2 linked regions of the Caenorhabditis elegans genome follow. The protein of the gene in region 2 interacts with the protein of the main gene of each other region in a pairwise test. Each region holds a gene or a part of one and is shown on either strand. Other genes may lie near its edges. The genes, in order: vps-52 and syx-5.

Region 1 (16,031 bases), on a different chromosome or scaffold from region 2:
TTCCGTTTCCAAGAACATTCCTTCTCTACGAAACTTCTCATACAAGTCCTCCTCTCCTGGTGCAACATATGGAATAGCGTCATGAGCAATGAAATCAACTTTAAGGTTTTTCAAAAACTCGACAGTACAAAACCATGGAGCCTCTCTGTAGACTTCATCAACGTACCGACAGTGCCGAACACCATCGTAACGTTCTTCTTCTGAAGTGACTGTTCTTCCTTTGTACTTGTGAGTGTCGCGATCACCACAAACTGAAATTTGAAATGAAAATCATAATTGAAAAAGATTAAAAAATCAAACCTCCAACAATAAGGTAGACATTTGGGAACATTTTCTTCACTTGGCGAAGTTGATTCGCATGCCCATGATGGAACAGATCATAAATTCCATCAGCATAAATTCGCACAGGTCGGCCAGCTGTAAGTTACAGAAAGCTACAGATATTTTTGAAGCAAATAAAGAGAAAAAACGAAGAAAAACTGAGTAATAGAGAGTCGTGGCAACTTCTGTACTCTTTAAGTGCACACACTCTTTTTTTTCTAATATTCAAATGTTTCGAGAACGTAGACGGTATTTTCTAGTTATAACTCGCAAATTTTCGCAAATGGCTAATTTTCCTTTTTACTATTAGAAATTTCAAGTATATTCCAATATAATATTTTCAAATTAAAAATTCTCACCCTCATTAGCTTCTGCCATTGCCAAAGTTATTTTCTTTGAATAATCCACCGCTTCTCTTGTCGTAATCGCCAACGCCTCGTCGGAAAATGGAGCTGGCTCATCTGATGCCAACGACCTGACAACGTACTCCACTTCCGTCGCCTTCTTCTTCACCTCCACATCTTCTTCTTGTGGTGAGTCCATTGTTCTCTTTCGTTGTGGCATCTTTCTGAACGATCAACGGTTAAATATGAAACTTGTTAGGAATTTAATTTTGAAGCGAATAACAAAATAGAAACACAAAAGTTTGTGTAGACTAGAAAACAAGGGGGAGTAGACATGGTTTTTTATTTTCTCATTTGGAGAAGCACACGAAATTGCGAAGTACGTGTGTTCTACTTATCAAAAGGCGTAAAAAAAATTGATAAGCGCAACGCCTCAAGGGCGAAAGTCTTCGGTTATCGTGCGATTCAGAGAAATCGCACCATTTTCTACTTCCAAAGTTTCACAATCGACCTAAGCCGAGCCTGACAAAGTGTGCAACGCCACGTGGGCAAATTTTTAAAGAAGTGATGTCACAAATTTAAAATTCTGTGAGTTGAAGCCACGCAAAACGTGCCAATGGAGAGTGCGTGCAAAAATTTTCGAATTAGAGAACTAGTGAAAATAAGGGAAGAAGCGGTGTTAGAAAGGGTCGATGGAGAAGGCGAATGGGGGGAAAAAAGACGCTGGACGGAGCGGAAAAAGAAACATAAAAGATGAACGTGGCACATTGCTTTTTTGCTTTTTTGAGTTCCCTTTTTAAGCGATGTTTTCACAGAAAAATAGTTTTTCTTAACAAAGGCTTTTTTTAAGTTTTGAAACTTTTTTTTGAGTTGACAAACTCTTTGAAAATCTAAAATCTGACGTGAACATTATACGCATAATTTTAACTCTAAAACTACAACAATAAATGGAAAAAAATGTCTCAGCTAATGCATTAATTCTTTGTTGTTTGTTTCGAGTTTCGCAACACACAAGAGAAAATGGCAAAAAAAATATGTGACACATGGGCAAACAGAACTAGTGATGGGACCCAGGCAACTAAAGAAAAAATGTTAGCATTTATATTTTTTGTTTTTTAGCATCTTCCGAAAAAGCGTATAATTAAGACGCTGTAAGGATAAGAAGCAGAGAGACACAGAGAAAAGAAGAAAAAAAAACAAAACAACTTGAGAAGACGACAAAAACCAAGCAGAAGGGCAGCCGAACAGAGCGCAACACGCGGCGAACAGCCATCTGGGCAATGAGCCACCAGGTTATACTACTACATTCGTTGTGTTTGTTTGTGTGGTCGAATGACACCACGCACAAAAAAATGGAGGCCACGGGAAATGATGGGCCAAAGAGAGAGAGAGAGAGAGAGAGAGGTGGTAAAGATGAAGAAGAAGATTTGAATGCGCGATTAGAAAAGAAAGTCACAGATGAGTCATTAAAGAAATTATGAGAAGGTCTAAGGAATTGAAATGTTTGTGTCTATTCTTGCCAGAAAATATAAATTTTGGCTTTCTGGTGCCTTTTAGATATTGGAAGTTTTATAAACATTTTTCTACATCCAGTTAACAGTGGAGTATCACCAGTAGGGACATTCTTAAAAAAACACTTCAATTGTGCAAAAATTACAAAATTTCATAGTGAAACCTTTCGAAAAAATATACAAAAGGTTTATTGAGAGTTACTGATATTGCTTTTTTTTGAGAAAACTATAGACTGCCGCATGTTCGAATCCCTACAATGGGGGAATATTAATATTTGTATTTGAAATTAATGTTGAAACATAAGTACTTACTTACTTACTTACTTAGTAGACTATAAAATACCAATGTAAAATTGTTTGATCGAAGACTACCAAAACAGTGGCAAGAAATTAGTAAAGATCATTTTAAAACAAAATAACAACTTTTCAACAACTTTTTGAAAATTTTACTTTGATATTGGATTAAACTGACACCTTATAAGTAGTTTTAACAACTTCCCTAGTGGTGCTACTTCACTTTTAACAAGTCTGTAGAATTTGGCACCTGACGCGGTCATTATGAATAAGATCGTGGCGAGACCCAAAAACAACGTGTGCCTTTTAATTGTTACGTCAAAGTTTTTTTAATTGATAAGTCAAAATTATGATAGCAGTTTCATTTGCATTTCTAAAAACTTATAAAAAAACACAAATTGTCAGATTAAAACTAAACTTAAATTCCACATCTTAAAAAGCACTTGTTATGAACGATAATTTTGGATAAACTTTATTTATTTACATAGGTATATAGTATTTATCTCATTAGTCTTGTTTGCCAAAGTGGTACTGTCATTGTTGTTATCAACAATACGCGTCAAAGAAAATTTTTGAAAAACTATTTTAAGTGATCATAGATTTCAAAGAATGGATGTGATATACCAATGATAAATACATTGATAACGTTTGGAAAACACTATTAATCATAACAACACATACTTCACCTTGTAAATTATTTTATTGCAGAGCCACCAAAGTTTCTTCAAATATATAAGATTCCGTTGGTTGACCCCAACTGCTCAAAAGTTTAATTGAAAAAAAACGGCAAGATAAATTTTTATTACACAACTTTTCTGATAGAAGTTTTGCTCCTAGTGTTAGGATTCTTGAACACCCATTACAACTCCAAACCCAACGGTACAAAGGTAAAAAACGAAAGTTAGTGAGGTGATTTGATTCATGCCATAATTGACGCAATAGATCTGTACTCTTAGAGGTTTCATTGACCCATCCATTATTGCTTGCCAAACGTTCTCTTATCTCATTTTCCCCTCAATCTGTCCACACTTTCTTCTCTTTGACACGAAAGAATTGAGGCCAACTGATAAAGATACAACTCAAAGAATCACTATACAAAAAGGTCATTCTTCGTGTTCATTTTTTCATGTTTCTCTCTACCATGAAAATATGACGTGCCGAGTCGGTGTAGTGCATTAAGAGCAAAAGTCAAGAGGAACCATTACAGAAAATGTTAGGGTGGTTTGCTGGGAGAGAAATTAGTTGTTTATGAGAAGAAGAGAAAAGAATGAAAAATGAGACTCTGGACTCTGGAACTACTCTGATTTCATAGCATTTGATAGCGGCCACCACTGCGGTAATGCACGTTTATTGGAAAAGATGGAATTCGGATTGAAAGTTTAATTTTCGGATTGGAAAACGATAAAGGTGATTTTAAAAAAATCATTTTCATAGTTATTCATCAACTTGAGACGGAAAGTTGGAATGTTTTCATTGACGGACTAGACAAAATATGTTGACTGTTACTTGGTAATAAAAATAGATAGAATTTGTCATTTGAATTTAAAAGTTATGAATTAAGGCATTTTATATCGAGTGTGATGGATTTCAGGTAATTCTCTGATAATAAACGCGAAGAAACCGGAAATATAGACATGGTGCGTTGTTCTAAATTCATATTCAAAATGTTCCTCTGCCCACAAAATGAAATTAATATTTGACACTAAAAACGAATGTAGTATTAAAAAAAGAACCAATAATTTGATCCTATAAAAACGTTTTAAAATGTACCAGTTTTTTTAAATTTTTATTTATTCGTTTATTAGCTTTTTACCCCTTGAAATTTATCAAGGGGTAAAAAGCTAATAAACGCTGCGAAGGCGGGGCGGGAACGTTTAACCGGTAATAATGTAGTTTTACTGTTCCATAAGGGAAGATACTTATGTAAGAAGTTTTTGTGAGGCCACAAGTACACAGTAAGTATGGAAATCTAGGAGGTCCGGCTTTTCTGACAAGAGAGGATTTTATAAAGTAGGGCTATTGGTTCGTGGTATAAACGTATTGACTCAAAATGTGCTGGAAAAAAAAAACAAATTTCGTAGTGAGTCGCTTGTTCTCTTTTAAAACTTTATATTTAGCCCGAGTAGTGAGACTGTTTCATATACCGTATTTCTTCTATTAGTCTTGCATGCAAGACTAATTTTCCATTGGTCTGTAGGGTTGCAAGACTATTAGAGGCTGCAAGACTAGTTTTCGAATGCCCCATCTTTGAAAAAATGACCTATTTTTTGTTGAAAACTTAACTCGATAGCTTGCTGAACGATAAAAATATATACTTTTGCAATATTTCATAAATTATTTGATCATTTTCTAGGTTATTTTCTCAAAAATATCAAATTTGCTGACGTTTCCGCAAAGTACTACTGGTCTTGAAAAAAGAGGGATGCAAGACTATTAGAGACTGCAAGACTAATAGAGGCTGCAAGACTAATAGAGGAAATACGGAAAACTGTTTTTTAATGAAAAAGGGTCTGGTTACTTTATACTTGTTAAAAATTTAACAATTAAATGCATTTTTGTTGTGTAAAATTTCAACATTGGTGCACTTTTAGCCCGCTTGTGATGCATGAAAGAAAGATCCGATCAATCCAGAAGGTGGTGCAGCTCCAGTAAAATGTTTATTCCAATTAAAAGTCATAAAAGTCCCACATAACCGTTTAGATTCTTGAGAATTTTCATTCAAAGTTGTGGTAAATTGCCACAACTAGAATAAGTTGAACCTATGAAAAATATTAGAGCAATTCTGCATTTTTTTAAATGTCTACAATATATGTATATACAAATGATCAAATCATAGTTAGAATATGAAACTTGTATGTAGAAAAAACTATTTTTGCCGTGTTCCAAGATTGTGATTTGTGAAAACTGAATGATAACTACCTTTTTGAAAGCAAAATTATTTTAGATTATTTATCACTGTATAAAGGAGTGATTACAAAAAATCACCCTGACCGATGCTTCACATTTAAAACAATAGCTTCATAATCCTGCATAGTTTCAAATAATAGTTTTACAGTATGTAATTTAATATTTTTACAATTCATATTGAATAATTTCTAAAATATAAACTTCGTTGATCCTTTTCGATTATTATTTCAAAAAAAAAGTACTCTTTCTTTTGTTTGTACCCACATCTCCAAATCATTTGCACGTGTTCAACGTACTACACAAAATGTATGTCACCCACAAACACTAGCATCTGTGCCATTCATTTCAGAAACATGATTCCGCTTTGAAGTTATGTCGAGCACTGCAATCTAGACGCTTTTTTTACTTGTGTCGTCAAGATCTCTTTCTTCTTTAAGACAGTTGAGCAAGATTGAGGGAGACTGCAGACACAGAAGTGTCCCGCAAAACATCCAACGAGGAAAGGAAATGAGAGAGCGGGAGCATTTCAAAAGAGCACATCAGATCCAGAGATTGCAGAGGCGATTTCTCGCATTTTTCGATCGCGACGAGTCTCTTGAGTTTACACTGTGTGTTGAGCACCCCAGCTAGCCACACCGAGCATTCTACCCTCTGACAATTTTCACCCCCATTCCGACGACTAACCGCTGATATCCAGATACAACAATGGATGACGACATCTTCAAAGAGGTATTGTTCTTGATCACTGTGAGCTTTACTTAAATTTGAATTTTTTAGGCAAGAAAGGAAAGAGATGACTTCGAAGAGTTGATGAATGCCTGTGATCTTGCCAAGATGTCCGTGAAGAACAATGAAGTGAGTTAGAGAAACCGAGAGATGACGGAAAAACCGGAGAAAAACGCGGGGGTGTCTGTATTGCGAAATGATTAAAAAAATACCTTCCAGATGGTTCATGGTCTAGAAACCTTCGGCATCAATGGAGAATCGTCAGAAAATGGAAATAAGGAAAAGCCCAAAGAGATCATGAAAGTTGTTGCCCCAACAGTTGAAGCATATGTGAGTTTGGTAAAATTTAAAAAAAAGAATTTCAGAGATTGAAATGTTTGATAGGTTTTAAGGCAAATTTTTTTAAATGTTTTTAAGATTGGATTCATACTGACATTTTTCAACCCTTGGATACAAGTGAAAAAATGTTGAATTATCTGAATAGTGTCTGAAAACGCTTAAATACTTTAAAACAGCGCCATCCTAATTTGATTTTAAAAGCATCAAGTAAATTATTGTAGGTCGGAAGTTCAAGTGCTCAAACTCCAACAAAATCGAGTGGCGGTGCTTTGGATGGCAGTGATCAACAGGTTTGTTTTATTGTTTTTATGAAGTGTGTGTTTTTGTGCATTTTTTGTTGAATAGTTCGTGCTTTGAATAATTTTTAATTAAAAAAACATTGATTAGGAATGTAGTCTATAGGTTTGTACAGGCAAAATTTCCGGAGAAAATGAAACTATATTTTTTGAGTTGTTTGAGAGAAATTGTTAATTTTTTGCTGAATTTTAGATAGTTTAGAAAAGGTTTTATTTTCTAATTTTATAATTAGCATACTAGTAAAAACTTATTTGCCAGAATACACAAAGACAAACTCAGTTCTAATTTAATTTAAATTTAGCCCATTGTCGAAGTAACCATGTCCTGTACATTTGTTGGAAGAGAAAGCTCAGCAGGATGCTAAGAAGAAAAAAAAACAAATTATGATTTTTGTTGTTTGTGATTTTATTTTTCTCTTATCATTTTCAAATACTAACTTGGAATATAATTTCTTGCTGCTCCTTATGCTTTTTTCCTTCAACCTATCCATTTCCATTCTTCTCCTTTCCCAAGCTAATTCACATGGGTATTGTTGACTTACTCTTGTTTGTGAATAAACATTTTGCTGTTGTTGTTGAAGTTGATGCGCTCACTTTCAGCACACGAACCAAATGTGCGGAATATAGATGTGAGCATTGACAGCTTGAATGTGAAAGAATGAGGGAAATGGGAATAAAAGGAAGAAAAATATAAGATGAAGGAAAAACTGAAGAAGGGAGGGAATGAAGAAGGCGTTAAATGAAAAAGAGACTCTTTTAGTCGATGAAAAGTGATTATTGCAGGAAGTGCGTCAGGACGGAACTAGTGTGCAAAAAGATGACAACGGATTTGTATTCTACAAGTGTCGTTTCTGCGGACTCACATTCAACTTCATGAACACTCTCCGTGCACACGAGAGAATACATGACGTTTCACAGGTTTTCATTCGCTGGATTACTTATAGAAACTCTTTGTTTCAGCCATATGTCTGTGGAAAATGCGGAGACTCATTTGAATTTGCTTGCCAACTGGAATATCATGCCGCTCAGCACTCAGAAATTGACGGGTACAAGTGTGAATGCGGAAGGACGTTCTTTTCTTACACGGAAATGTTATATCACAAGCACACGGACGATCCACTCGAATTGATAGGTGCTCCAGAGGTTTGTCTAATTGAGAAATCTGAGAAATAATAAATTTACTAGATTTTACTAATCAGTAGAGCTTTTTGAAACAAAATCTGAATTACGAACTTCTCGGAAAAAAATCAACAGAATCTAGCTATGGCTGTTTTAATGTTTGATTTTTTATTCTTCAGTTCTTTCGACTCAAAATCTATCAAAACCTTTTCATCCAGCCATTCGCTTTTCAATTTTGTATTTGGTTTTCATAGTCCTTGATGTGAGAAAATTGTGAACAAAAACTTTGTGTGTCTTGGCTTTCTGACGTAAAAAAAATATTTTTCTCAACAAAAAAAAATTGCTGATAGCCTGTGAGAGGGTGCAATTTGATACGACTGCACTTACTTCTTGCATCACAACTGTTAAACAGATGGAATTTCAGTGCAAAAAAAAGAAAACGTTATGAAACAGAAGTTATGAAACCGAAGAAAGTTCCAAATTTAAAAACATGTTTTGGTCGTTTACCTTACGTTGTTTTGTTAATGAAGATACGTTTCAAGCAATTAGGGACCAAAAATTACCACAATTTGCTACCTAAGTCTTTGTGACTGGGAAAAATTGAAACAACTCGAGTTTTTGACTGAAATTTGGGTATTGCCTTTTCAAAATTTTGAACCCCCATAAACAAGTTTTTAAGTAATTTTTGAGAAGTAGTATTTCAAATTTCGTTCGTTTGGTTTTGTTAAAAATCACACGGAAAAAAAGCCGAAACCGTTTTTTTACTTTAACAAGGAATACATTTGTGAGAAGAATGAAGATTACCAATATAATTTGAAATACTTCAGACAACCACAATAAAAGTAAGCAAGAAGCGAGTCCTACCGGTCTCCGAGCAAGATCTTCCACAGCCAGCTTTCGTTACTGAAGGATACGAGCCGAAGCATCCACTCCGAGTGTACAACGACGTTCGTTCAAAACCATACATTTGTGAATATTGTTCGAAAAGCTACTCTGACAGTCGTGGTCTTGCATATCACATGTACAGTCATCGTGGAGAGAAGTACTTCAATCCTCGAGCATCTCGTTATATGATGGGAAGGGAAGGAGTTGGGTACACTGATTCCAGAAGCTACTATTTATTCCCAAGAACAAGCGGATACGTGACTCCGCGATTCTGAGCAACCCCTGAGTATTTAAAATTTTTCTAATTTAGTATTTAAATCTATCCAGATCTTGTAAAATATATATATATTTCAACATCGGCTAGCTTTAACAATATTTGTCCTTCAAAATGTATATTCGATATGGTTCTTTCATATAACTCATATTTCTTTCTTTCAACTAAATCAACGTTTTTCTTTAGTGTTATCGTTTTCTCATTTCTTGTCATTTTGTCTTTTCCTCACATTTTTAAGACGCTCGTTATAAAGACGGTCAGCAGCAGAAACTCGTTTTGTGTTCAACATAAACTACAATTGACTACAAAGCACAAAAATCGTGTGTTTCCAACGCACTCAGACACACTCTATAAATACTGTTCTCGTCATGTCTTGTTGGTATTTTCTTCTTTCCCTGAAATATCGATTCCTGGTCAATCGTACAATTGGGACCATGTTAAGCGGGAAAGACATTGACCGCTAGCACAAATGTTGTCCGGCTCTCTCACAATCAATCTTTCTTCTGTGATGTGTTACGACAACCCACAACCGATTTTTTGATAGCAAAAATGATAAGATGATGATAGCGAGACAGCTCAATTGTTCGTTGTTCTAGAAGTTGTACGTTTTTTTAAATTTATTTTGCATCATTTTGAATTCATTATTTAAAAATGTATAAAATTGTTTAATTAACGGTTCTCGAAATATTTTGCCACTTCACAGCCACGATATCTCACTCAATAAAGCAAATGCAATTTGGGACACGCACTTGTGTTCGTTATTAATATCGAGTCCCCATTGAAAAAACTAGGCCACGCGGCCGTGAAGTACTCTCGGAAAACTACACCATTTTTTATTTTTTTATTCTACTTATATTTTCTCAAATCTCTTACTTTCAATTAATGCTTATAATTAAGACTCACAAAAATAATTTTTAGGTATGACACAAGAAAGTAACTCAAACTTTTTCAACTTCCTTCTTTTCGGGTTTGTGACCGCTATTGCCTTTTATTCGGGTACCCAATTCAACAAATCTAGCGAACAGGAAGAGGTAACTCTTTACATTTTCAGCTGATTGCGCACATATCCATTTACAGCACATCAACCATGCTAACTTGTATTCGGTAAAGAAGTTTGATGATGGAGCAAAAGAATACTCAATAATGTTGATCACCGATTTGGATCATGACAGCAAAGACGGGAAGAAGTGGAAAAGTTTGGTCTCTCGTGGATTTTTGAAGGTGAGAAGGACGGCAAGAAACTAATGCATTATGCTCAGCTTGACCAATATGATTTTTATAAAATGCAACTTGCTTTTTTCGAATCGCTATAGGAAATTTTCAAATTTATATTTCAGGTTTCTGCAGACCACAAGCATGCCGATATTCATTTTGACAAAGACTCGGAGTACTATGTTGACACGTAAGTTTACAAAATGTGTTTTTATAGATTTTTTTGTTTTGACTTCATTACTAAAATCATCATTTTAGAAATATTGCCGCCGGTGGACGCGCTATGGAGTTGTCTGACCTTGCCGTCTTCAATGGTAAACTGTACTCAATTGACGATAGAACAGGTCTTATTTATCAAATTAGTGACAAGAAGGTGAGTGATGAGTGGTTAAACAATGATATTTGTGTAGTGGATTGATTTTTAAAAAATATAATATTGTTTTGAAGGCACTTCCCTGGGTATTACTGAACGATGGGCCAGGAAACGTCGTGAAGGGATTTAAAGGAGAATGGATCACTGTTAAGGATACCGAATTGATTGTTGGAGGATTGGGAAAAGAATGGACGACCACTGACGGAGTTTATGTGAACGATCACCCAATGTGGGTGAAGCATGTCTCTGCTCACGGAGCCGTTCATCACGAAAACTGGAAGGATGTATATATCCGCGTTCGTAGAGCTGCTGGGATCGAATATCCCGGATACATGATTCACGAAGCTGTTCAATGGTCTGCAATTCACAGAAAATGGTTCTTCCTTCCACGTAGAATGTCAAATGAGAAGTATTCTGAGGCGGAGGACGAGAACCGCGGAACAAACGTTCTTGTGATTGGAAATGAAGAGTTGACTGATTTTGAGGTTGTGCGAGTAGGATCGGAGAATAACAAATCCAGAGGGTTTGCTGCTTTCCAATTTGTGCCAAACACTCATCACCAGCTCATCGTTGCCATCAAGTCGGAGGAAAAGGTAAGTAACAGGTTTTATCTACACAATTTTAAAAACAAAATCCGTTAATCTCAATGCTCGGTTTATAAAATTGTATTCCAGGATGGAAAACCAGTAGCAAGTTATGCAAGTGTTTTCGACATTCATGGTAATGTTATTCTTGACGAATATCTTCTTCATGGTCCATACAAATACGAAGGAATTGCATTTGCCTAATCACTTCAATTAATGTATTTTTGTCTCAATTCCCACCTTCCAGTCAGGTCCAAATCTGTGTTCTCGATATTATGTGATTTTTGTCAAATACTATGTAATGGTTATTTAAATAAAATAAATATATAAACATTTTATTCAACATTTTTTGCATGCATAAAGCTGCCAGTGGGTAAAAATATATATAAAAAAATACTCAAGTAAGTGGGAATCAATAAATTATTTAATTTACAAAGTCTACACGGGAAAATAAAATAACATTGGCAATATTTTTCTTAATATGCTGGTTTGAACCGTTTGATTTCGAGCATCACTTGATGAACGTTGACTAACTGGGAACACACGGGATTTTTAGCAAATACGTCATGGGACAGAATCTTTGTGAATCTATTGATATACTGAACGTACTTTGTGAAGATTGTCTGAAATCATCTAGTTAAAACTGAAATTCGGCTCTAGGAAATAAATTTTAACCTGTAAAATGGTGGTTCCCAGGCTGAAGTTAGTGAAAAGTTGTATGCATTCTGAATTAATACTGTCCACTGCAGGTCTCCACTTTGCATTGAAGTTTGCTACCACCGTTCCAACTTTGTCTGAAATTAAAATATTAGAGAATAGAAAATTATATATGACAACTTGCCATTATATCGAACTAAGAGTTGTGTATGACCTTGAACAATCAGAGATTCACACTCGTTGACAAATTTAATCATGTACCCAATATGTGGCTCTAGCATCTCTTCAACAAAATCATCAATACTTTTTTGTTCAAGCTCATGGACAATTGCATAAATCTTTGTATGCTTGCTTTCCTCGTTATCGATAATCGAAAGAATAAGATCGTAATTGTTAATCAGAAAGACGTGCTTATTTTTCTGAGTTTGCTGCATAGCTGACATTCGAGTCAATAGTTGTTCAATAGAGTCTTCACTGTTCTCCAAGACAGCTTCCATCTTTGCACCCATTTCCTTTCCACTTGCTTTTGCTATCATCAAATGTGCACTTGTCAGTTCGGCGTACCGTCGGACTATCTGTAACATCTGAATTTTTTTGATTATAAAAAACAATCAAAAACTTACGAAATGCGGTCTTGCATCAAGTGAACCGCTATGCATCAACTTCTTCAAATCAACAGATTTGACACTTTCGTAGTGTTGAGACATGACCAAATTGAGGCGGGTCCAAAGGAAGCTTGTGACAGTATTCCAATAATCGCTAACTTCTGGTACCTCTCTCTCGGCGAGCACTTCGGTAAACTTGTCACATAGACAAATGCACAGATGAAGACTGATGGCGTCCCAACTAAGGGCGATTTGCTCCTCGCAGCTTTTGAGCACAACTGACATTGCTCGAGCCATAGCCTGAAAGCAATTATAAGCTTTTTTCCGGTAGTGAAAAGGCAAACAACTATTGTAAATGTAACATTACTACGTAATAGATATTAGGTCTTTCCAGGTCCTCGTAACATACCTTGTTATGCAGTTCAATGGCTTCATCATTGCTGACAAGGAAAAAGTCGGTAATAAAGAGGTACTCATGGCTGTAGTGATCGACAAATGCCAGTTGAATAGAACGAAATAGTGCTTCAAATTGATACTGAAAATATAATTTAATTTGGTCCCTACCAGTTCTATTGTAAGGTATACCGATTGATGGTTCTGCGTAGCTGCGTGGGGAACAATCAAGGCTCCTAAAAAGTCGTCAGAGAGAATTTGATGTCGTTGCCCAATCGAAAAAACGGTTGCCTTATTCCGAACAACGTGTTGTTTCGACGAGAAAATTGCGCCTAATCCAGCGGGTTTTGCAAAATCAATACTTCCCAAAGCGTCTTCTTTGGTGGCCACGTCTTTCATCTTAAATAATTACTCTGGTGAATATACTTGAAAAATGTGTCTCAACCTACCGCAAGTTTGAACAGGCGTGTGGCGTATGCTTTGAAATACGTGAAGAACATCTTGCTGATGGTGTCAATGTACTCGTCTTGAAGTTCCTTGGCAGAGATCAAGTCATGGTGCAACAGGAATTCGTAGAAAAATCGGCATTTGAGAAGCTGGTGTTGAAAAACTTGGTAGTTGGACAGAGGTTTACGGAATTGGAACATTTTCTGAAGCAACCATTCCCTCACTTTTACAACCGCCTGAAAAAAAACATTTTTGAAATGTAAACTTTTGTAAAAAAAAAAACACCCAACCTTAAGCTTTAGTCCTTCCAAAATCGGCATAGTGTCGTTTACCGCTACCGCATCTCCATTTCCCCTTTGCAAAATTAAGGTTATTTTGTGGTGTAACTCGTGGAGCGCTTCCAAAAAACCCCTGTCATTTGCATCAGTGTCGTTGATAGTTTTCATCATCGTTTGAGAAACAGCAATATCGTCTACAAATTGGCTCAGCTCGACTCTAACTTTTTGCCGGTTTTCCAGTTCCTGAGAAGATTATAGTACGTTGAAATTGGAAAATTAATTTACTTGATGAATATGATGCGACTGTAGCTGCAAATTTTTCATATCCTGCCCAATTGATCCTAGATTGTCTTGAAAACTGTACAATGTTGCTTGCAAGCGCTAAAAAGTTTAATTAAATAGTCGACTGATTTATATATTGGCAATTTTTACAATATACTTACTTCAAAAACATTATCACAATGCACAAGTTGATTATGGAGTTGAGCCAACTGCTCAGAGTTATCAAGACACTGTTGAACAGAATAACGATGTGCCTCCGATAGCCGCGTGCTGACGTCGTCTGAATTATTGATTTTTCAAATGTTGACATTTAGAGACATACTTTTCGACTCGGTTAGTCCGTCACCAGAAGCAATTGCTTTTTTCACCAAATTCGGATCTGCTTTTCGCAATTGCGATAAACAAAATTCTAGCGACGATATTGTGAAACTACGGTCATTTGCCTCGGATTTTTGCAAGTTGACACGTGTTCGAGGCATTATTTGTGCTGAAATTGTTTCAATAAAAATTTTGATGAATAACTAACGTTAATAAATAAAAAATAGCGATAAACCAAAGAAAAAACAATTGGTAACACGTCGTTAAACGATGCTCCGCTTTTTACACCCCGCGCGGTGTTTAGAATAATGGTGTGCTTGTGTGCGAGGAAGGCGAGGAAAATGCTCGCCAAGGAGGTTATGCAGAACAATTGGAAAAATGAGAATGTGTGGATTTTTGAATTTTTATAGAGAATTTAATTTATCTATTTGGTATATTTTTGACAATTCGCTACGAGAAATCTAAAACACTATTAAATCTTCAAACCCCAACAATATTGAAATTTGGATTTTTGTTTAGTGAAAAAATAAGTGAAAATATGAATTTTTCTGATCAAAGACTTTCATAATAATTGGTGAAAACCTAGTTTTCAGCGCATTAGGCTCGAAATAAAAAATTTCTCAAAACTTTTTGAATCCTTCGATTCAAATATTTCCCGTTTTACAAAAAATTAGACAAATTTCTAAACTATATGGCTTCCTTCATTTTCTTGGAAAAATACACTTGAAAAATACAATGGAACGTGGAGAATCATATATATATTATTATTATGATGAGAAAAATGACTGAAAAAATTTGGAGCAAAATCGGAAGTCTTTCAGACAACCTCTCAAAGATATGCCTTGACAACCGATATGTGCAATTTGGAAGTGAATGAGGTGGAAATCGAGTATAAATATTAAGTGTTATACAGTTGAATAATACAGTTTAATAGTTAAAAAAAAATACTTCAAACAGGAAAGAGATTATCAATATGCTTCGAGTTGATCCTTGTTTTGTTTTTTGACGAAACTGTAGCTCATTTTGCGTTGCTTGGAATCAGAGTCGGCTTCCTGAGGAAGATGCGGTGGCTGGAACTGTATCCTGACGTTGAATGGATTGAAGGGCGGCATTCATCATTTCTTGAACTGGAAAGTTCTGAGATGTGCCTCCTGAACCAACCTTGCTGATTCCTCCGAGAATCTCCATTGGGAACGGGAAGATGATTGTGCTGGTTTTCTCGGAACTGAAATTTTATTTTGTTAGTTAAAAGTTGATAGTGCGCTTCCATTACCTGATAGCATTGAGTGTGTGCAGATATCGAAGCTGCATGGCTCCCTCGCTTTTTGAAATGATGGTGGCGGCTTCAGCAAGAGCGGCAGATGCTCTTAATTCTCCTTCGGCAGCGATAATCTGAAATTAATTGCAATCGAAATTAATAATTATTGGTCCCCCGCATTTTGCTATGCTCATCATGTCGGCTCACCTTTGCTCCAGCATCACGAGTAGCCTCGGCTTCAGCAGCCATAGCACGTTGCATTTGAGATGGAAGACGGACATCGCGAAGCTCGACACGTTCAACCTTGATTCCCCATGGCTCTGTAGCTTCATCGAGCGAGATTTTCATGTCGGCGGAGATTTTCTCACGGTCGGATAGAATTTCTGAAAGGGTATGGGTACCGAGAATTGTACGGAGGGTGGTTTGAGCCAAAAGTTTGGTAGAGTCGGTCGCATTGCCAACTCCGACGACCTAAAAATTCCAAATTAGATTGAACCGTACCAGCTGTTTAGTTTACCGAAGTGATTGGGTCAAACACCTTGAAGTAGACAACTGCGTCAACAGAAACGGTAACCGAATCGCGAGACAGAATCTGAAGAGAGAAAGAT
Region 2 (15,453 bases):
GAAGACCAATAAATTGCATAACGAATATTGCTGAGAAATCATCACGGAATACAGTGAATGCGAGACATGTTTCCAGAACTGCATGCCATGTACGTTCTGACAGATGCTGAAATTTATTTATGTTCAGTACTGATTTAATATTGAAAATTACCTCAGCCTCTGCAGCTCTCAAATCTCCGAATAAAATAGACTTGAGCAATTGGAACATGAGATATACAAGAACAATTCCTTGAACATATATCACTGCCATACTTGCATTGCTTTTTGAGAGATATACGATTGATGGATAGAACTGTTTGTTGATCAGGAACGCGTTGAGTATGGTGGCCGCAGTCGCCACACACGAGCCACCAATCATTAGTCCAGCTGATACCCTCATCTGAATTCCGAGGGATCTGAAAATAATTATGAACCAAAAAATTACAATAATAATAATAATAAGAAGTAAGAGTTGGTTCAAAATACCATGAATATAAGAAATAATATGAATAGTTTTGATTAAAATTTAAAAAGCTTTATGCTAAAAATAGAGAAGATTTTAATCACAGGCGGAGTTCTACCATCAATTTCCGGGTCAAGACAGAGAAGTAAAAGCTAATTCATGGAAATAATAGTAGAGGAAAATAATGATTATAGGTGATAGGAGAAGCAATTTGAATTTACTTTTCCACTTTTTTTACAATAGACACATTCAAACAAGTCAGCAATCACGGAAAAAAAAAGAACCAATGAAAAATGGAAATGTTTAGGTGAGGAAAAGAACAAATACAACAAAGAAAACCATGAGAACTCCAAAAACTTGAATCATTAACCATCGATTTTTGCTAATATTTTGAAGATATCTCACAAGCTCTGAATGTGCCATATCAATATTAAGAGCTGTATCTTCAACATTTGAATCGATTCTTGTTATCATCTCTCCTTGCTCACTGACGAGTGAAGCCAGTTGAGAGAAAATTTGGCCAAGTTCGGAGATGGATCCTTCAATTGTCGCCATGGTGTTGCTACGGGCTTGCGCATATTCCAATGATGAATCTCTTTGTTGCTGAAAATATTTGTTTCTTGGAAAGTGTTTAAAAAAACTAACTATATTCTATCTATTTTTTTGTTTGATTTTTGAGCAATTTACAGTTTTCACGATTTTTATGTTTTCAATAAACGCTCAAAAATGTCTACAATATTCTATCAAGTCATAATTTTTGGTTAATACTATTAGAAATATAATTTTTAAATTTTTAAAGAAAAAAACGAATTCCAAAGAAAATATTAACATTTCCTAACTAAAATCATAGAAATCTTACAAATTTTTTGTAACATCGCAATTTTTCAAATGTATTCTTTGCTGTTCTAAATTAGTTTCGATAAAACTTGCTTTATTGGCAAAAAATATTAATTTTTAAAAAAAGTTTCACTGTACTTCTCCTAAACACGGAGCATTGGAAATTTAATATTGATAGTTTTTCAAAAAAAATTTCATATTTTTCAAATTGAAAACTTACCATAGTCTGTTGTGATTGCATGTTTGACAGAGCACCCATATCCAGAGCTATGCTTGAGGAGCCATGCTGCTCATCATCTTGAAGAAGCTTTGAACGAACTAAAATTTCAGATTTTTATTGAATGAGCGAGGAAAATAAAATACCATTAGCTCCGGAAGAGGAGGAAGGAAGTCCCATTGGAACTGCTGCACCACTCGAGAATTTATCTCGGCGATTTTTTTCAGCCTTCATTGTTTCTGTACTAATTTCCAGTACGCTTTGATAATCTTTTCCGACATTCGCTAATTTTGACTGCAATCCAACTACAACTAATTGTATATGTCCACTATTTTGATTTTTCATGTTTCCTGCACGTCTTTTTGAAAATTCTTGAAGTTGTCCGATCTGTTTGTTCAAACCCGTAATGTCAGACTTGACAATTGATGAAAGATGGTCAATTTGAGATCGTTCTTCATAGCAGCTCTTTTTCTTAGCATATTCGGCAAGTTTTTCCATTTTTGCACACGTTTGACTCAATTCTTTTCCGATTCGCTTTGCGAGTTGATTGAACTGCACGGATTCAGATAGCATCTCATGCTTTGGTTGAGGTCTAATTCCATTTGCGGCTGCTTTCATCTGAAAAATTATATGTTACCCGAATTTTATATAAATAATAAAAATATTATCGCCTAGAATGTTTTTAAAAATATTAACAGGTGATTCGTGTTTCTTTTTTCTGTTCGAAGTGTATTTCGAGTTTCGCAAAAATCGATATATTCGTCTCGTCCAAATGTTGATGTGAAACCCGAATAACACGTTTTAAAAGTAAATGTTTCGAAATAAAAGCTTATTTTTAGAAGTTTAATGAAAAAACTCACTTCGTATGATTTGGCTGTCGCCCGGAATTCCGAAGTTCGATCTCTTGATGGCATTGTGATAATGATATGATCAAGTGGATTTCCAAAAATACTCAGCGATTCAAGTGTTTCTACTACCTTTGATCGATCTGCGTCTATGCTTTCAGTGCCTTCCGCTGTGTCGTAGGAGGATACAAGCGCCTCCTGAAAGATATATGCATGAAAAAATAAAAACCAGAAATATACAGATAGCCATCTTTCTTCGTTCCGATAGACAAACCTGCGCAGAATTCCAAAGTTGTGAAGCTGACGCGTTGAAAACGGTTGTGAGAGAGCTATACGCGAAACTAGTCGGAGCAACTGCTGAAGTGTGATTCTTCTGATCTGGATCGTAATCAAAATCGACTGTTGAGTAAGAACTGGCTTCTGGTATTCGTCGACGAGATCTAATGTTGTGAAAGTCCGACATCCGACATCGAACAAACTGAAAAATATTGTTTAAATGACTGAAAGCGTCGAAAAGATTAATATATTCAAATGTCACGGTAAAAATATTATTTCAAAAGAAAAACAAATAACAAATATTTCGCTGCATTGTCGCAACAGTCCACTAAACCGGCTCGACTTCGTGGAGAAGAAAATCAATGTGTGGTCGGAGGTTGTGCGTGGCGTTGCGTATTTTATGCGCAACAAACACGCTCCTCAATGCACTAGTTTTTCTTTTTTTTTTGTTTAATTTTCAGTTTAAGTTTTATATTTCTCAACCAAAATGCTCAGTCAAGTTAATTTTATTAAAAAAATACACATAACTTTTCGTTTCGATTTATTGTTTTAAGAAATTTCAGCGATTACCGTAAGATTTGGAACACGTTGCCTCCCGATTACCGTATCTCCCCGTAAATCGACACAAATAAAATAACAGCTTCCACTTCACGCTTCCGTTTTTGATTCCGTTTTCTGTATTCTTACTTAGTTTTGTCTATATTTTAGTGATTATAATATTACAGGAATGGCAGCCAACATTTTGGTGGTATCTTGCCTCATTCTTGGTTCCTTTGCCCACCAACCACAGCAGTTTCCTGGTTCTAATCAACAGCAACCACAACAGGTAAACAATGTTTGTAAAGAATAATAAGAAAATTATTTTCGCTAGAAATTGAACTGAAAAACAATCTGGATACAGTGATTTTTATTATTTTAAAGCTTCTTTAATTTTGTAAATTGTATTGAATAAATCAGGGTGGCCAAGCGGAACAAGCTCAACATGCTCAGCCTGGGCAACAGCAGTTTGGTGGAGAACAGGCCAGAGATGAACAGTAAGTTTTAATAACAATTTTCAAAATTAATTTAAAACATTTCAGCCACATAAAAGAACATTTGGACGGAAAAGTGGACCCAACTGCTAACATGACGCCAGAACAACTTCAATTCCATTATTTCAATATGCACGATTTAGATAAAAATGGGAAACTGGATGGAGTCGAGTTGATTAAGGCAATAACGCATTTCCATGCCGAGAATCCAGGACCACAGCATACACAAAATAATGCCAATGCCAATCATCAGCCACCACCACTCCCAAGTGAAGTTGAATTGGAGACGATGATTGATAGTATTTTAAAGTGAGATATATATTTAATTAATTTATTTTCTAGAGACTACTGCTAGCAATTAGCATAAGAAAGCACTAAAATATTCAAAGTCTTAAAAAAATACTTTACTGAATATTTTCAGGGACGACGATTTCAATGCTGATGGCTTCATCGACTACGGAGAGTTCCTCAAAGCACAAAAGCTTCGAGAAGATCAAGCAAGATCTCACCAGGAACAAATGCAGAAAGCTGGTGGCACACAATAATCGAGAATTCTGATTAGGACAACGATCTAATTAATAGCCATAATTTCCAATTCCTCGTTTCCAAAGTTTTCAATGTTTTATTAACATTCTACGTCTTTTGATGGGTTATATCGACTGCTGTAACAAATCATTTTATCATACTATCCTCGTCACTTTTAACACTTTAACTGGTACATAATAGTCAGACACCCTCCCCATTTCCCAGTCCTACAACTTTAGTTATTTTTCCAATTTTGCATTTTCCCCATCATTTCTCAAGTTGTGATGATTTTTCGAAACCCATTTGTAAAAAGCATAATTTATTGGTTTATCTTATAGTTAGTTGAGATCGAATAAAAACAAATGAAAATTTGTATTTAGCACCTGTAACAATAAAATTCATGTTTGCTTTTGCTTTTGCACTACCAAATTTTGCGTTGGAACTAAAAGGCGAAGCAGGGGGAGACTGATAATAAAATATTGACATTTGGCAGTCTTGAGAAAAAGAGTTTTCTGTCTATTTCTATTGATTTTATACATATTCCCACTCTATAATGCGTGGATTTTTATTCATCTCAACTGTATTCCTTCTATTAGGTATGCAAATCTGTTTATAACTTTCTAATGTTTATAAATTATTAAATTTTAGTGCTAGAAGCTCAAGGAGCAAAGTTTGCTGAAGAAAAAGAAGTACACGATGAAGAGTAAGTGCAAGTGTACGTATGAAAATTAGTTTGGTTAAAGTAAATGTAGATGCAATTATATGCCATATGCGAAATTTAGCAATTTTCGCGCTAAAAGCACATAACTCGGTCTCGACACGACACTTCTTGTCAAATACAAGCGGATGTGTGCCTCTAATGAGGACTGTAATTTTTTAATTTCATCGATCTTTCATTGTTGGTACACTATTTTTCAAAATTTATATGATTTAATTGATTTTTTTATTTTGAAAAAATTAACTAAAGCATTTGAGCAAAAATCTATTAAAAAAAGCGCTACAACAACAAAAGTTACTGTACTCTTTAAAGGCGCACATCCGGTGGTGTCAAAAAGTTTCACGGCTGAGAAATAGGTAGCGTTTTGGACATTCCTAATATTGACAACTATTTAAAATTCTACTTTAAAAATGTTAATATTTACATTTTTCCCTTACAGTTAGAAGTTATAGTTAGTTTTTCTCGAAAAGAGTTTCAAGACACATTTCATTAGTAATTTGAGAAAGATTTTCAATAGTACGCTTCTTTTGTTTTAAGACATATCAAACAACATTTGGAAAATAAAATCGAAGTTGAGAAGCTAACAGAAGAACAACAACGGTTCCATTATTTCTCAATGCATGATTTGAATAAGGACAATTTTATTGATGGAATTGAAATTTTGAAGGCTCTTACTCACACTCATGATGCACACGGTACTGGATAACCAATCAATTATAGACTTATCTTTATACTTTTTAGATTCCGGACATCCTGTTCCAGTATCAGATGAAGCAGAAACAGAGAGACTTGTTGATGCTGTTTTGGATGATTTGGATTTTAATGGAGATGGAGTTATTGATTATGGAGAATATTTGAAACGACAGTGATTATAGTTGATAGATAATTTATTGAATTTTGTATTCTTACAAGTTTAAACTGGAATAGATGATTTCAACTAATTTTCTTTATTTTTTCGAAGTTCTTCAATCAACTGAGCTATTGCATTTCCTTCGTTGGCAGTCGGTATTTCATCTGGAATTATCAAAGTTTCTTAAAAACTTGAGACTTCATTTTAAAGGTACATACACGCTATATTTTCACAAAAGGTCTCACAGCGATCTTGCACAAAAAGTTTTGTTTAATATTCAAAATTACACAGGGCATCAAATGAATTTTGCAAACTCAGAAGAAAAACTTACCAACACCCAACATTTTTCTAGCAATTTCCAAGACTGTCCAAGATTTATTCGATTTATTTGCAAAATCTTCATCTCGAAATAGTTTCTCATTATCAAGACTCTGAAATATTGTTACAACTTTAATATACTGTAAATCGACCCACTTTAGTAATAGGGAATCCTTTGATCTTAGTCATATCGTACAAGTTCTCTTTTTCATTTGTATCATGCTTTCCAATTAGATCACCAATCCTCCACATTACAGGTGGAATCGTATCAGCTGAAATTGAATTTTTGCTCATGTTGAAGAAATCCATTCTTACGAGATATTGAATTAATAATTCTAGACGTTGTCGATGAACCAGATGAACCCAGGCCGTCTTGACTGTACGGGATTAAATTAAATCGTGGTCCATTCAATGAAATTCCAGATTCTGAGATCGATGGCCTACGTCTCATCTGGCTCTGTAGCTGTGAGAATTCCGGAAACATTGGACCATGGGAATTTTGATGATCTTCTTCTCTTTCTTTACTTTTTTGATGCATTTCAACAAGATGAGCAACTGATGAAACAAGTTGAGTTATTGGAGAGTATTCCTAAATTTTAGAGAACTATGAATTGAAAATCATGACATGAAAACGTACAATTTCCATTCCTTGTTCAAATGGGTTTCCAACAAGATTATGCATTGGCATTGACATAACCATAGGCATTCCCATACCCATTCCCATACCCATTCCAACCTGTAAGACTATAAACTTTCAGAAATATCCTTTCATCGAACGTTGTGAAAATTGTCTAACAAATTTTTCTGAAAGATAATAACATTCTTGACAAAGATAGTTTCTCAGATAAATCAGATTCTAAAAAAGTTGTTGAAATTCAAACCAGTTACTGGACTCACTGGAATTTGTTGAAATATTTGGCAGTGACAGATGTGAAGAAATATAAAGTAAATCTGAAGATATGTGTACGTATTCATTGTTTGACACTTGAAAGTGACATTCCAAAAAGGTGGTAATTGGGAAAATGACTCAAGTTTTAATGTAGGTCATCCGGAAGGAAATAAAATGAGAATAAAAAATTTGAAGAATCTTTTATTTGTAGACTTGAAAAAACGGGTCAGTAAGATTCAGGATTATTGCGAATGATAAACCCATTCAAGCTGATTTTACCGAGATCCTCCACATTCACCAAATGATGACGAATGGCATATTCGAGAACTGACATTGATAAGAAGACAAACTGCTCGGCTTTCTGAAAATATTAATTTTAATCTAGTTATAAAGAACGTATCACCATGCAGGCTGCACCACGAAGCATTCGAAGTCTAGCAATTGTATCCAGAATATCAACAAATGGAGTACCAATTTCATGAGAGGCTGTCAGACGTTGACAAAGAATATCCAAAGCAACAAGAGTGCAGCTTCTACTGAATCCATCAAAACACACCAATGTCATTGGTGTCCGTTGACTGTCGTCAAAAATCTTCTTTTCAAGTCCCTGTTTTCTGAGAATTGTTCTCATATGGTTCATATCTGCCAATAAATCCAGAATATCAGATGGTTTCTGTGGATAACCAAGTTTTCCCCATCCACTATAGGTCAGAAGAATCACTGTTTTATGAGATTCGACACCTTTCTCAGAAATCTTCAGAACAGAAGAGTAAGTTGCCGGTCGAACTTTTCGAATGTTATCCAACTCAATTGTCATATCATCAATTACCAATGGTTCTCCAATCTTTACAGGCACAAATGGTTTTCCCTTTTCATCCAGGAGCTCGCACAGTGTCACCACAATAAGAGAATTACGATCGAAAACACACCGCCAAAATTGAGCAACACTTTCAGACATAGGAGACGGGGCGACAATGAATTTTCGAGTTTCACGATATCCGTCGATCCAACTTGAGTTGAGGTAATTATGACCTGAAATGTGTAGAAGATTGGATTTAGACGGGTAGTCAGAATCTAGACATTCCGTCTTTTTAGTGTCCCTTGTGACAGCCATAAGGGGGTATTTTCATATTTATTTTGATAGACGGTGCGCGATGCAGGCGAAGGTCGCCTTAAGGTGAGGCAGGCAGGTGTTTTGGCGCCTACATGAAAGACCTAACGCTTTTTTTCTGTTTTTGAACGTCAAACATTGAAATTCACGTACTGCCACCACATCAAGGCGTGGAACTAAAATAGAGATATCGTGGAATATTCAGTTAATTTGTTAAAATTTCACTAACGACTTGACATAAATTGCGATACTAAAATAATATAATGTAGTAAATAAATGTGTAATGACGTAACGCCCCACTAGTTTTACATATTTTTATTCTGAAGTTTTTGAATTACCTTGACGATGAACGGCTCGAACACGCGTCTGCTCGTAAACTTGAATTTCTCCAAATTTATTCAATTCGGGGTGATCAAAGAAAGCGTCAACAGTGCGAAGTCGTGACAATGGAAGAGACGAGAAATGTGAAAACTCTTTTCCGACAGAGGAAGTTGAAAGAAGTTTGATAAAAATATCCAGTGGACGAGTGCAAGCGTTTTTTGTGTTCAGATCAAATAGATACTCGTTTTTTTCAAGTGTCATACTGAAAATGAATTAAGCTTAAATATTATTGAAAACCTTGAAAACTTACACATGTCCACTAGTTAGATCGGCTGCACTATTGTAAGTGTGAAGACCAATAACTGATTCAGAAGAAAGTGAACCGTCACCAACCATTTTGTTCGAAATAGATTTTTTGAATTCTGAGGTTCTTTTTATAGTGATTTTTTTCTTATTATTTCAATATCACCACGTGCTTATTTTAAAAGTGAACACTTTTATTTAATTTAAATGCATATGTTTTGTTTTTGAACTGACAATGAAAATATGAAAATACAATTTCTACAAATAAATACGATATTTCAACACCGGACAACTACAAGCTCTGAAATTAAGCAAACTTATTATGCTGTTGAGAAACAAATATGTGAATGAAAGACAAATATAGGTTAATAGATTAATGGAAGGAGGTTACCCGTGGTAGATTTTTAAAGAACATTGCAAATTGAGGGGGAGGATTAAAACTTAAAATTATTCTGATCTTAAAATGTACAGGAATGGGTTTAGTTGATCTGGACGTTTGGCTGGTACTCGGTTGATTTCTGAAAAAATTAAATGAGAAATCAGATGATTTTTCTCAAAAACACACCTTGAACAATGCATTTTCTCCATTCATCGAATGTCAATTTTCTATCCTTATTCAGATCGCAAGTTTTGAAAAGATTTCTGGAGCACTGTCTGACATTCTTCCATTCTAACAAAACTGATTTAAAAGGTTTCCATTCACTTCTTTCAAGCACATTATTATGATTTATATTGAGTTGATTAAACTTCCATCTAATTGCTGAATCTCTGCTAACTTTTGTTGCATTTATTCCACTCATTATCATTTCTGATTTGAGAGTTGATACTAATCGCCTCAGAAATCGTGTTCTCTTCTTTTCCTTACACCGATTGTTTCTTCTCACTCTTTTTGGAGCAACTGTAGTTGTTGGAGTTTCTTCACATTTTGGTTTTCCTCTTGTTGTCGATGAGCCTAACTTTGGCTCTCCGGACAGTTCGTCCACACACCAACAATAAATTGAAACATCATAGCATTGCACTTTATCATATAATCTGAAAATTGAGTAAACTTAACAAATATGTATACGAAGAAACTTACAATGAGTTTTTTGGAGAACATGTTGGAATATAAATTCTAGCATCTCCGTCAGTTTTTCTTTTTAATGCTTTTCGTCTTTGTGATGCACAATCTAGACGTATAACTTCTTCGAATCTTTGACGAACAGACAAATCATTTGAGTCAGTAATATCCAGAACTTCTAAAAAACATTAAAGTTACAATTAACAAATTTAAAATCAGAAACCTACCAAGTCCCCCTTTCTGAACAATTGGATTCCCATTAATCAAGTATATCCAAGCCAATAATTGTAAAGACAAGTGTTCGGGCCGCATGAGCGACTGAAAAATATTATATTAAAATTAAGATAACGATAAAATTGGAGAAATATGTGCAAATCTCAAAACAAAAAAAACGCTGTCCGTTGAAATGTGAAATTGAGGAGAAGACGGAGGATATAGGAGGAGTAACCAGATTAGGTTGCACTCTTCTGCAATGCGTGTGGGCTGAAGATTCAAGTGACGTGGGTGTTCTTCTGGTTTAGGAATTCACACCTAATTGAGAAGATGTCTATAGTGTTAATTTAATAACGGAAATTTCAAACAAAATGGAGAGTTTAGAACCTGAGTGTTAAGATTCGACGTCACATTTCTTTTATGTTGTATTCTGATGTAATCGAATACAATTTTCCGGTTTCGAAACAAAAGTTGACTCTTCAAATGCAAAGTCCACAGAACTTCGAATTAGAAAAGGAAGTGATTTGTGAACTTTTTCAGGAGGTTTCTTGAAATATTGTATAAAAGTTGTTAGAAATAAACTTATGAAGGTTCAACTTCTCATGGTTGTTCAAAGTCTCTATATCCCGCCCAGATATTTTTTATCCCCAATAAAATTCTCAATGATGCGTGAACAATCCAAGAAAAGGTTTGAGCTTGTTTCCGATTGTGGAATCATTTTTCTCCTTCTTTTGGCATCCACCTACTTTTCCGGTCGGGGGCGACACTTATTTTCGTAAATGTCATGTTAGAACTCCACCATAAATGTCATTTTTTGAACAGCTTGATTCGGGACAATTAATTAGTAATTCGGAATATGTGAAAATGTAAAAAAGAGGAAGAAAAAAGAGGTGATGAGGCAGAACGAACAAAGTATAGAAGAGAGGAGGTCAACGGCCGATCGGCTGTTTTGAGAATCTCATAAAAGTATCCAAAGTCACCCTGGTCAGAACAACAGCCAGTGTGTTTAATTGACGCAACGACCAAAGCCAAATCGTAAAATTTGGTTTTGAAGGTTTTCTTGGAGATCTTCACGGTACTTTGTCGTTGCAATAACAATGCAAATTTTATATTATGTTTCAAAAATCTACTAATTTTGTTGTACAAACTTATATCGTATATTCTCTACTGCACCCGTTGCTCAACTGCTTTCTATCTCGGTTGTCTTCTGATTAATTATTTACTGATATTTTCCAAATGAACCAAGATATGACCTTTCAAAGTGGAGCAAGGGGGTGCAGAACTAATAGAGAATAGAGGGTAGATTATATTAAAAAATTTCAAAGAAGGTTTTTTGTCAGATTCATACAAATGAACGAAAATCTTCTCAGGAAGAGCTCTTTAAAACTTTTGAATTTTAATCTGATAAATAATTCTAAAATTCTTCAATAATTAGGCGCAGCTGTAAGAGCACAAAAGATAAGAAACAGTGAGAGGATTGTGTAGTTTATCAATGTTTGTAATTCGTAATAGGGTGAAACTTATTAATTCGTAACTCATAGGATCAATATGCCGAGGATTAAATGAACTTGGAACATACTTTTTAGTAGAAAGTTGTGGAGTTCAAAAACATTTCACATAAAATTTCGAGAGTGATTATAAAATGGGGAATGCAAGAAAGTTAGAAAAAGAGTGGGAAAATGATGGCTCCAGACAGACGTGTCAGTCTCCCGATTTCCTGGCGCCGCGCTCTTATCACTTAACAAGAGCACCAATTGAATATTCAATATTCTCTGAGTCGGGCGGTCATCTGTTTTTTGCACAATTTGCAGGACTCAAAATGGATAGGAATGTGGGTGGAGTCAGTGTAGTTGATAAATGATGAAGATAGGAGGAAAAGTGGAGAAAAAAAAGAAGGGAAGACACGAAATATTTAGTAAAATATGGGAATATATATGTATGTAGAAGAAACCGAGTTGGATTCTTGTGAAACTCAAAGATGGAGTGAGTGAAGAGACAAACTAACTGGCGGGCGCTCAGGTAAATAATGTAATCTCTTGAGCAAACGATCGACCCTCTAAAAAATGGAACAAAACTTGGATGATTGTAGATGGGGGAAAATTGGAATTGGCGTGGGAGAGGGTGGGAAATTAAATTTAGTCGCGTGGAAAAGGGCACGAAGAACAGAAAACAAGAGCACAAAAAACAAGAAAGTAAAGAAAACATATTCTCTTTAAAGTTGCAAGATCTTTACTCGTTTTTTGAACGACGCTGTTTTATGGGGGGAAGAAAGTGAGAATGAAAATGTGTGCCAGGGCATGTGATCTATGAATAATATTTAAAACTACTGTTGTAAACAATACTTAAAAGATACATTATCATTATTATCTAGAATTCTATATTTTGTGTTTTGGATGAGATTGCTTTGTTTGACCAAAGTACCGCTTGTTTATCAAAGAATAGCTTTATACTGAAAATGCTAAGGAAAACCAATTAAACATTGCAATTATGAATTACTTTAGTTTGCCTTGAAAAATAAATGCTCACATAAACACCCTATCTAAGAAGAAAAGGTTTTCAGTTTAAACCTCGTCACTCTGCAGGGTGAAGCTCATGAACTGAAGCATACTGTAGGACTGTGAAAATGCTCGGATGAGGCGCCCATGATACCTCGCCGGGTTAAGTTATCTATTCTGAATTTCCAAACGAACCTAGTATCAATCAAAAAAGGGTATTCAACATAACATTCCGCATCAGAGAATCAGTAATAATAATTATTGGAAATCCTCTCAAAGTTATTTGACCATGGTAAAATTCTCAATCAAAGTTTTGAAAAAACATATAAAAATTATTTTGGCAAGTCAACACATTTTGCAATGCAGAACATTTTTTCAAAAAAAAAACTTTTCTAAAATAAATCCAAACTCCTAAAAATTGGTGTATCATACAATTTTTGATCGATCAAACATAAAAACACTGGAATAGTTCAGAAAAGTGTTACGCGTATGTTCTTGAAATCTCAGACTATGTGGTCGATCATTCTCTATGTTTTTAAGTTTTTGATGTTCCTAATCTGAAATTATTTCTTAAATACGTATCAGTCGCACATTCATTATTTTCCGATATTTTCGTAACACAGAGAGTTACTTATAAAATATTAAGTTAAAGTTTTGCAGATGTGAGTGTTTATCTAGACTTTTTATTTCAGACAAAGAATCTATGATGTAACTGGAACGGATTAAGAGTACTCTCTCAAAATAGAAATAGAAATACGGTAACTCAAATTACAAGTGAGTTAATAATGACAAAGTTTTGTGGGATGAACTTTCAAGTCAATTGCCTGAACAACATCAGTCAAAAGCTCTGCTTCACATGCAAGCTCTTAACGTTTTCCCAGCTTTGCTTTAGCTCTTTCTTGTTTTTTGTGTTTTTAAAAAACGAGTGGACCGACAAAAGTTCATAAAAAAGGCTGGACATACTTGTCAGTTTTTGTCCATCTGTTACGAACACTGGGTGGTCCTTCGTGCCTGGCACATTCTGGACGCCCACTTTGGGGCCATCCAAAAAGTGAGAAATGTGAAGAAAAGTGCACATCTATCCATATATTCATGTAAAAGCCAAGTAAAAAAACGAGTGGAAAAAAGCAAGAAATTGAAAAATAAAAGAAAGAAATATGGGGGGGGGGGGGGGGCGCATCACATAAAATAAGTAGGTGTGAACAATTAAAATTTGAAAAAAAACGTAAAGCAATCTAGTTAATTATTAATATTCAACAGTTCCTACGGGTTGTAGTTGACTTCCCAAATGGATGTAAAGTCTTCTGAATCCTTCTTCAAGCTCTTCTTTCGTGCAGGCAAACACAATGCGGAACCATCCAAACACGTGACATTTCTGATGAACACCCGGAGTCAGCATTACTCCTGCTTCAGCAAGACGCTCAAACAATGCAAGTTCTCCTACAGAATCCAACGAAGTAAGATGCTAAAATGATATCCGTGTTGTATTTTGAAACAAAAAATCACTTGAAAGTTATTTTTTTCCACTGAAACCGAAATAGATAAAGTTACACTTTATTTTTTTGTTTCTGATTTAACATTTATTATATTCTGCTCATGTAATCTTTGAACCACAAAATCACTTTAAAACTTGTTTATAAAAGTTTAAGATGATTATTGAATATAATTCGTCTTCTTTCCCCTAAAATCATAGTAAGTAAAACGTAAGCGATTTTTGATCAGAGTGAATCATCATCAAATTTTTGTAAGTTCAAATGATCTACCTTGGAGAAGTCGGCAAAAACAAATATTCCTGCTTGAGCTGGAATAAATGGGATTTCCAAACGTTTCAAATTATCAGAAGTGTAGCGATAGTGGATTGAAATACGTTTGTTCACTTCACGATGGAACTCTCGTAGCCATTCTGAAAATATAAGAGACTATACTTCCCGTCAAGTTTTTGTTTTTTGTAAAACATGTTAAATCAAAATTGAAGTTATTTTACCTGAATCAGACAATAAGTTCACAGCAAAATCTTGAACGAATGGGGAGCACGGATAGTACATTTGCAGTTTTGTTGCCGCTTGACAAAGTCCTTCATTCGTTGTATGTATCACTGCAAACTTGAGTCCTGGAAGTCCAAAATCCTTGCTAACACTCCATAACCATGCGACACTATCAGGACGGTGTAGACGATGACGATAAGACAGGAATGGTCGGAACTTTGAATTCAATTTATCGAAGACACTGTTTGCAAAAACTTCGTCAATCACAACTCTCAAGTTTTTCGAGGAAGCCCAATTACACAGACTGATGACTTGTTCAGGAGGGAACGTCACACCCAGAGGATTGTGTGGATTAACAATAATTACACCAGAAACTGTATTCTCAAGGGCGATTTGTCGATTCAACTCTGCTTCATACATTTTAACATCAAGACGTGGGTTGGAAAGATCAGTCTGAAAATTAAAAAAAAAAGTGAAATGGATTCGAAGATAATCGAGAACATATTTTAGGTTTTACGCTAACAAGTTAGGAATTAAAGCACATTCTAACTGTCACTAAATATTTCTATATTTTTTCAAATGACATATTATACCTCTACACACACCACTTGACATTGAGCTTTTTCCTGCACATTTGAAATGGTACCAGTGTAAATCGGTCCATTGGTCAACAAAATGTCTGTCAAAAACCCATCATACAATAATTTTATTGCATTCTCTCTTACCATCTTGTTCAAACAAGCAATAGCTTGTAACATCATAACCAGTTCTCGTTGAAGCTGTCAATACAAGCTCATCAATTGTCACTCCAGCACCCATAAACTCTTTGAAATATTTGACAAGAACTCTTCGAGTTTCAGGCCATCCCCCAGCTGGTGGATATCTCACTAGATGTTCGATGTTTGGGAAAAACAATTCAAGATGTTTGAACCGATCTTCTAAAAGCGGAGTGCAAATGTTATTCTCGGCAGTGCAAAAGTTAACGACTCCGTTAGGATTGCGTGTTGGTTCGTATTT

The links.
Region 1: the proteins of syx-5 (region 2) and vps-52 interact in a two-hybrid assay, tested with the Caenorhabditis elegans proteins (one study listed by BioGRID).

Annotation. Positions count from the first base shown.
Region 1 is NC_003284.9:7,563,626-7,579,656, reverse strand, and holds vps-52 (Vacuolar protein sorting-associated protein 52 homolog), read right to left. Parts: upstream 14,335-16,031; 5' UTR 14,327-14,334; coding exon 14,170-14,326; intron 14,128-14,169; coding exon 14,009-14,127; intron 13,947-14,008; coding exon 13,851-13,946; intron 13,809-13,850; coding exon 13,578-13,808; intron 13,524-13,577; coding exon 13,290-13,523; intron 13,240-13,289; coding exon 13,033-13,239; intron 12,983-13,032; coding exon 12,857-12,982; intron 12,748-12,856; coding exon 12,466-12,747; intron 12,418-12,465; coding exon 12,027-12,417; intron 11,980-12,026; coding exon 11,861-11,979; intron 11,809-11,860; coding exon 11,662-11,808; 3' UTR 11,512-11,661; downstream 1-11,511. Other genes in the region: pcyt-1 (Putative choline-phosphate cytidylyltransferase), read right to left, coding at 1-251, 301-417, 681-889, 7,281-7,300; Zinc finger protein unc-98, read left to right, coding at 6,083-6,106, 6,155-6,232, 6,323-6,433, 6,664-6,732, 7,522-7,656, 7,699-7,881, 8,685-9,017; Apyrase apy-1, read left to right, coding at 9,937-10,047, 10,094-10,237, 10,354-10,418, 10,487-10,601, 10,676-11,194, 11,276-11,389; sto-1 (Stomatin-1), read right to left, coding at 15,204-15,390, 15,439-15,557, 15,631-15,894, 15,941-16,015. UniProt on the Caenorhabditis elegans protein: Acts as a component of the GARP complex that is involved in retrograde transport from early and late endosomes to the trans-Golgi network (TGN). The GARP complex facilitates tethering as well as SNARE complex assembly at the Golgi.
Region 2 is NC_003283.11:11,752,270-11,767,722, reverse strand, and holds syx-5 (Putative syntaxin-5), read right to left. Parts: upstream 2,820-15,453; 5' UTR 2,805-2,819; coding exon 2,616-2,804; intron 2,540-2,615; coding exon 2,357-2,539; intron 2,115-2,356; coding exon 1,643-2,114; intron 1,598-1,642; coding exon 1,500-1,597; intron 1,046-1,499; coding exon 746-1,045; 3' UTR 501-745; downstream 1-500. Other genes in the region: sel-11 (E3 ubiquitin-protein ligase hrd-1), read right to left, coding at 1-106, 152-379; F55A11.1 (EF-hand domain-containing protein), read left to right, coding at 3,345-3,443, 3,575-3,651, 3,697-3,957, 4,070-4,193; T04F3.4 (EF-hand domain-containing protein), read left to right, coding at 4,727-4,769, 4,822-4,876, 5,429-5,586, 5,633-5,760; T04F3.5 (uncharacterized protein), read right to left, coding at 5,829-5,905, 6,073-6,172, 6,216-6,331, 6,375-6,648, 6,697-6,795, 6,957-7,034; T04F3.3 (Tyrosine-protein phosphatase domain-containing protein), read right to left, coding at 7,175-7,309, 7,352-7,980, 8,398-8,642, 8,691-8,776; smoc-1 (Thyroglobulin type-1 domain-containing protein), read right to left, coding at 9,131-9,201, 9,249-9,715, 9,762-9,921, 9,971-10,055; T04F3.1 (Aminotransferase class I/classII large domain-containing protein), read right to left, coding at 13,698-13,916, 14,215-14,354, 14,436-14,889, 15,030-15,115, 15,162-15,453. UniProt on the Caenorhabditis elegans protein: Potentially involved in docking of synaptic vesicles at presynaptic active zones.